Linked DNA regions of Oryctolagus cuniculus. The protein of the gene in region 1 purifies or fractionates together with the protein of each later gene. This does not show direct contact. Links are inferred from orthologs where the notes say so. Each region holds a gene or a part of one and is shown in the gene's direction. Other genes may lie near its edges.

Region 1 (3,647 bases):
TCCCACATTGGTGCAGGGGCCCAAGGACTTGGGCCATGTTCCACTGCTTTCCCAGGCCATAGCAGAGAGCTGGATTGCAAGAGAAGCAGCCAGGACTAGAACCAATACCCATACGGGATGTAGGTTCTTCAGGCCACGGGGCTAACACACTGTGCCACAGTGCAGGCCCCAAGAGTCTGTTGCTTTTTGGCCTTTGTTTTGTTTCTATATAGGGATGTTTTCCATTTTTATTGTAATCAAATTTACCTTTTTCTTTTAAAACTTTCAGGTTTATAAACAAAGGGTTAATGCAAAAGGTTTTCTTACAGAGATTTTTCTTGGTTACCATGTGAGGAAGGAAGGAGTGGTCTGGTTCTCCACTCCTCTTCCACCCAGTGTTGTTCCCAGTACCATCCATAGAATGATCCATCTCACTAATTTGAAATGCCATATATAGAAATTCTGAAAGATACACCTGTGTTTCTGTACTTTGTTTTGGCTTTTTTTTTTTTTTTTTTTTTTTGCCAGTACCTTAATGTTTTAATGTCTTTAGCTGCATAATGTATTAGCTTTCAAACTCAGAATTCTACCAGAGAGACAGGCAGGTAATATGAAAGTGAAAGGCATGGAGAAAATTAGTCATTAGTGAACAGCCCTGTTGTTGAGCCTCAACTTCAGTGCTGCTGCAAAAGACTGTGCACAATGTCAGTAGGACTTTTGCTATTTTAAAACAGAATCCTGGAATCTGAATATTTATGCAAGTCTTCTGATTTAAAAATATTTACCATTGATTTCTAGGTTTTGGCAAAACATTAGCTAGACTGAGTAACACATTGAATAGACTTCATCCAGACATTGGGATCTCTTTAAATAAGTTGGCCATTTCACAGGGTAAATACATCTTCATTATTCTTTTTAGAAATTTTTGGGAAGTTCCTTTACCATATTCTTAGATTTTATAAACAGCTTGTCAAGTTGCATTTAATGAACTCTTGCTTTGGTTTTGTTAGGGACTGTATTAACAATAAAAGATTAATTTGGCACTGTGGCTTAGTGGGTTAAGCTGCCACCTGCAACACTGGCATCCCATATGAGTGTGGGTTCAAGTCCTGGCTGCTCCACTTCTCATCAGTCTCTCTGCTAATGCACCTGGGAAAGCAGTGGAAGATGTTCTGAGTCCTTGGGCCCCTGCACCAACCTGAAACCCAAAAGAAGCTCCTGTTTCCTACCTTTGGATTGGCCCAACTCCACCATTTGGGAAGTGAACCAGCATGTGGAATATCCCTCTCTCTCTGTCTCTTGCCTCCCTCTCTCTCTCTCTCTCTCTCTCTAACTCTGCCTTGCCAATAAATATATTTTTTTTAAGATTTATATATTGGCAAGGCAGAGTTACAGAGAGAGAGAAGAAGAAGCAGAGAGAAAGAGAAAGAGGTCTTCCATCTGCTGGTTCACTCCCCAGTTGGCCGCAACGGCTTGGAGCTGTGCCGATCCAAAGCCAGGATCCCAGGAGCTTCTTCCAGGTCTTCCATGTGGGTGCAGGGGCCCAAGGACTTGGGCCATCCTCCACTGCTTTCCCAGGCCATAGCAGAGAGCTGGATCAGAAGTGAAGCAGCTGGGTCTCGAACTGGTGCCCATATGGGAGGCCGAGGCTTCAGGCCAGGGTGTTAACCCGCTGCGCCACAGCGCCGGCTGCACAATATGTTATTTTTAACATTCATACTGCACAGATGTCCTTAGGAAAAAACTAATTCTATATCACTATTATCCTTAAGTTTTATGTTTTACAGTTGTATGTAGTGTACTATTTCATCTGGAAGGTAAGGAAACTTAGCTTTGATTAGTGTCTTGCAGTGTGAAATGGCACAAGAAATGCACAGCCATTGCACACTACCTCACAGGGCTACATTTTTATTGCTCAACTACATTTTTATGTTTTACTTATTTGACTTTCTTTTTTAGCTTACGAGGAAATATTTCAGTAAAAGCTGTTAAAAAAGAAGTAGAAAAGAAACTCCGATGTTTACTTGCTGACTTACCACTGCCTCCTGAGCTGCCGGGAGGAGATGATCTCTCAAAGAGTCCAGAAGAAAAGAAAACAGCAACACAGTTACATAGTAAAAGGAGACCTAAGTATGTGCTTACTTTCTACCTGCTCATAAATTGACTAGAAATGATTCTGGATCATCATAAATTTATAAAACACAAACTTTAAGCTTAAATAAAAAAGTGTATTCATTCTTCCAATTTAAGTATATGAATAAGTTTTTTCATAAGTGCTTGCATACCTATTTACTATTACAAATAAAACAAGATTCAATATTCTCTCACAGTTTGCAATGTATTAATTTCTTGGGATATTATATGTATTCAAGATAATTTCTGTAATTAAGATACCTGAGTGACACTGACACACTGAAATTGGCAGGGTAGAATAAGCATTCAGTGAGTCCAAATGAGAAATGGGCAAGCTGTTATGTTTAGCTGCATTTTCCCCTCTAAATGCATTCTTTATTTTTGCAAAATACTTTTGCAAAAGATACAGTGGAAAACATTTGAAATCTGTGTTTTTAGTTAGCTTCAAGTAAGTGTCTAGAGAGAATTCTTTCCTTTGAAACTTGTTCATCAGTTAAAGAGACTATACATCGATGCTTTTTTTTTTTTTTTTTTTACTTCAACTTAACCAAGGGAAAGTGATTTTAGAAGTGCTGTTCAGCTAGTAGTGCTTAGAATAAGGGTAAGAAGTCATGTTCTAGTATGGAGTAGAAAGCTACAAAAGTTTTACCTCTTTGAGTGTACTGAGGTATTATTATTTGGAAGTTCTATGATCTACTAGAATATTAAAATGCAGCAAAATTTAATATTTTGGAGAATGAAATTTTGTTGTATCTAAATCTTATTAAGAGTGGATTTCTGGGAGTTGATTATATCATTTATTTTTTTGAAATTTTTGAAATCACTTTTTAAAAATATTTCGTCCAGCCATAAGTTTAATTTGTTGATAAGTTTAATAGATTTTTGTTAATGTTTATTATTGAATTTTGTTTAAGTAGATGTTAATTAGAGAACTTTTTTCTGCTAGTGTTGGTTTCATCCACTCATTGGAAAATTGCATTTTATTTCTGAAAACCCTTTATTCAAATTCCATGATTTCTCTTCCCAGTTAAAGTAATAGTCTACAGAAGAAGAGTCAGTATGTTGAAATGATATCATGACTTTTATGATAAATTACAATACCAAAACACATTGTTACTGGCCTTGGATACGTGATCACAAATATGCAAGATTAGCAGAAAATAAATGATGCAAGATTGGGTGGAGGGTGGATACTGAGTAATTAAACATTTAAAAGTTTGCTTGATTGTATATAAAAACTTCAGAACTATATTTGATAGAATTTGTGGGCCTCGATATGGTGAAATCAAAGAAAAAGATATTGACTGGGGAAAACGCTGCGTGGATAAATTTGATATCATCGGAATTATTGGAGAAGGTACTTATGGACAAGTTTACAAGGCCAGGGATAAAGACACTGGTAAGAACGCCAAGTTCTGGGGATCTTTGGGCTTGTGAAATGTACTTAATTTGTGCTTTTTTCCTAATCTATAGCTTTAGGAATTATAAAATATTTGGTTCAAATTTATTGGGCTTTTGTTTCATCTTGTTTTTAG
Region 2 (3,647 bases), on another chromosome or scaffold:
ACCTTACACCTGCCTTTCCGCTGGGACTAGCACACTGTTAGAGAATCAGCTCTGTTCTGTGCCGTACTTCAAAACGACAGGCCTGCCGCCTGGATGTCGCCTCCTGGGTTGCTGGGTTTGTGCAGCTGTTAGTGAAGAGACTGTGGGTGCTCTGCAGAGCCCTTTCTTCTCTGATGGCAAGCAGGCACTGCTGCTTGTACTCCCAGTGAGTGTCTCGATTGTGTTGTGCATTGTCTTTAAGTGCTAGGTGCAGACAATACACAGTGGAAGGCAAGAAGTACCCATTAAGAAACATTAACTGGTTAGAGTGTGACCCGAGAGGAGATTCCATTTATAAAAGCAATGGTAAAATATCTGAAGATAATCCCTGGGAAAATTGGCAGGGGGCTTTAAGACTTATCCTAAAGGATGGAAAAGGTGTTAATAAATTTTTGATAAGAAGATGAAATGTAGTTAAGGTCTCTGTTTTCCTGATTGTTCTGTGAATTCAGCAAGTTCTTAATCGGAATGTCAATAGTTATTTCTTTAGGATAATATTTAGTAAAATGATACCAAAGTTCAGGTAGTGGGATGGGGATCATACAAAAGCAAATAAATTTTCTGAAAAGAGGGGAGGTGACGGAACAATCCCTTCCAAGCAGACAGGTCAGCACACAGCTGAGGTTCTGTGTGTGTGTGTGTGTGTGTGTGTGCATACATGCATGGTTTAGAGTGTGATTTAGGTTGACTTTCAAATAGAAGGGGATGATAACTTATTCAGCAAATGATGTTGGGACAGCTTATTTCAGGTAAATGAAGAATTTAGACACGGAAATCATGCGCCTCATTCACACACACACCTGCTGCATCGTTGCAGTTGGCTATCATCATCTCTTCCTTGTTGAAAGTTTGCAGCGAAAATTCCTGAGGGAGTGAATTTTTTATCGGAATCTTGAAAGAATCTGCAATTCAGTTAGAATATCGAAAAGTGAAAGTGTTTTGTGAAGAAAGACACATATGTAATGAAAGTAATCACATTTCTAAGAAGCTTTGTTTTTTAGAATTAAACCTCTGATTATTTCAGATTCCTATTTTGAGTTCTTTTCAGAATTTATCATTTTCTCTCTGCAATTAAAAACCTGAGTGGGAGAGAGGAGAAAAGGAACAGAAAACAGTTGCTAAAATATAAGTGGACGAGAGAATAAATAGAAGAGCTCATGTTTTTAGTGTTGCTTGTGACCCGTGACTGTAACTGTTACCCCGACCCTGGCTACTTATTTTTAGGAAGAAGTAATGGTACTGGAGAGAATCTTACTGCAGACCATAAAGTTCGACTTACAGGTAGAACATCCATACCAGTTCCTACTCAAATATGCAAAGCAGCTCAAAGGTAAGGGAGAAAAGTTTTTTAAAAAAGAATTTTTCATTCTGAAATCAACTCTTTAGAATTTGTTCAGACACAGATTATGCTTCTCAAAAGGCAAACAGAGGGTTCAATGTGTAAAGTACCCAGGATATAGCTTGCTCAAACTGTTCAGTATGATAGCTGGTAATTCTGTCCCCTTTTATGCATAAACAGGTTCTGTCATCCAGTTGCCAAGTGACATGAGGCAGGAAAATGAGTCAGAATTTTTTAAATAGACTAATAAAATTAGCCTTGGAGCCCAGTTCCCCATAAACAGTGATTCTGCATTGGTCACTTTTGTGGTTTTTTTTTTTTTTTTTTTTAAGTTGAAAGGCAGAGCAACAGAGAGAAAGACATCTGCTGATTCACTCCCCCAAATGGCCCCAACAACCAAGTGTAGGCAGGCTAAAGCCGGGAGCCAGGAACTGTATCCTGGTTTTCCACATGAGTGCCAGGGGCCCAAGTATTTAGGCTGTCTTCTGCCATCCCAAGTTCATTAGCAGGAAACCAGATCAGAAGTAGAGTAGCAGCCAGCGCCGTGGCTCAATAGGCTAACCCTCCACCTAGCGGCGCCGGCTCACCGGGTTCTAGTCCCGGTCGGGGCGCTGGATTCTGTCCCAGTTGCCCGCCTTCTAGGCCAGCTCTCTGCTATGGCCCGGGAGTGCAGTGGAGGATGGCCCAAGTGCTTGGGCCCTGCACTCGCATGGGAGACCAGGAGAAGCACCTGGCTCCTGTCTTCAGATCAGCGTGGCGGCCGCAGCGTGCCGGCCGCGGCAGCCATTGAAGGATGAACCAACGGCAAAAAGGAAGACCTTTCTCTCTGTCTCTCTCTCTCACTGTCCACTCTGCCTGTCAAAAAAAAAAAAAAAAATAGCTGTCACTCGAAATGGCATTCCAATATAGGATGCCAACATCACATGTGGCATTGTAAGCCGTCTGCCATCAGGCTGGCCCCACACCATAGGTTTTTAAATCAATATTTATTGATTCTAGTGAAGCCTTATCCCCTTCCCCATATTACCCTTAACTTACCTTGTTTCCCCATTTGTAGGTGATAAGAACAAAATTCAGAAGTTGGTTCAAATGGCGTGGACATTTGTAAATGACAGGTACTCATATTCAAATATTGTTTCAATTACAGTGTTTCAAAATAAGCAGAGAGTTTTGGGTCATTAAATCTAAACCCCTCGCTTTGTATTGAGGAACCTGCCTTGCCCCAGCTGGAAGAGCTGGCCAGTGGCCAGGCTGGGCTTCAGGTTGCGGCCATCGCTTCCAGGCAGGTGGCCTCCAGCATCACGGTGGTGAGATGCTGAAATCTCATCACCAGTTTGAAACCAAGTCCAATACAAGACACTGGAGAATTCTGAGCACTGCATACTTATAGGCCAGTCGGTTCTGCAAACACTGTTATTTGTAATAGTTCGGGAGTCTCCGAGTTCTTCCTAGGGCCCTCATTTCCAAGTGGGGGGCCGGAGGGTCAGAATGCCCTCCAGTCTTAGTGTTGCGGTGGCCCTGCCCCTTAGGCCGAAAAGCTGCTTTTGTATTTTTTGTACATGTGTTTGACCTTGCCCTAGGCATTAATTTGAAGAAACGGTTCAGTGTCAAGGATTTCAACAATCTAAAGAACATAAAGCATTGTCATTTGTATTATGTGATGTCATAATTTTTGAATGTGCAAGAATTACTGTGTATTAATAAACTAATAACTGTTTAACTTATTTTGGTACCTTTAGAAGGCTGAAGACTTGCTTTAATTTATAATACTTCAGTCATCTGTGGAAAGAATAAGCAAATCAGCAGGTATAGGACATTGCGTCGCAGGATTTGCGTCATAATGTTGGTTCGTGGAATCTGAGAGACTTGTCCTTGTGTTCACGCAGCCTCTGCACCACCTTGTCGCTGCAGTGGGAGCCGGAGATCATAGCGGTCGCGGTGATGTATCTCGCAGGGCGCTTGTGCAAGTTTGAGATTCAGGAGTGGACTTCCAAGCCCATGTATAGGAGATGGTGGGAGCAGTTTGTTCAGGATGTCCCCGTGGACGTGCTGGAAGGTACTGAGCTGCTTCAGCTTTCTTTCCAGGGTGCTTCATGCTTAGAGGATTCTTCCTGTGTACCGCGGCTCCCAAGACTGGGTTTTCCTTTAAACGTGTGAAAGTGGAAGGGGAGGTTTTTGTCTTGTTTCTTAAAAATGTATTTAAAAGCAGAGTTACAGAGAGAGAGAAGGAGAGCCAGAGAGAGATCTTACATCCACTGGTTCATTCCCC

What was found. The genes of interacting proteins can lie anywhere in the genome.
Region 2: the proteins of CDK13 (region 1) and CCNK purify together in Homo sapiens (affinity purification with mass spectrometry; 4 studies listed by BioGRID and IntAct, counting the BioPlex papers as one, with this or other methods). This does not show direct contact. The link is inferred for Oryctolagus cuniculus from reciprocal best matches to the Homo sapiens genes CDK13 and CCNK.

What each region holds. Positions count from the first base shown.
Region 1 is NC_091447.1:29,927,611-29,931,257, forward strand, and holds part of CDK13 (cyclin-dependent kinase 13), read left to right. Parts: intron 1-1,938; coding exon 1,939-2,109; intron 2,110-3,371; coding exon 3,372-3,511; intron 3,512-3,647. UniProt on the Homo sapiens protein: Cyclin-dependent kinase which displays CTD kinase activity and is required for RNA splicing.
Region 2 is NC_091451.1:43,357,852-43,361,498, forward strand, and holds part of CCNK (cyclin-K), read left to right. Parts: intron 1-1,263; coding exon 1,264-1,369; intron 1,370-2,435; coding exon 2,436-2,493; intron 2,494-3,264; coding exon 3,265-3,434; intron 3,435-3,647. UniProt on the Homo sapiens protein: Regulatory subunit of cyclin-dependent kinases that mediates activation of target kinases.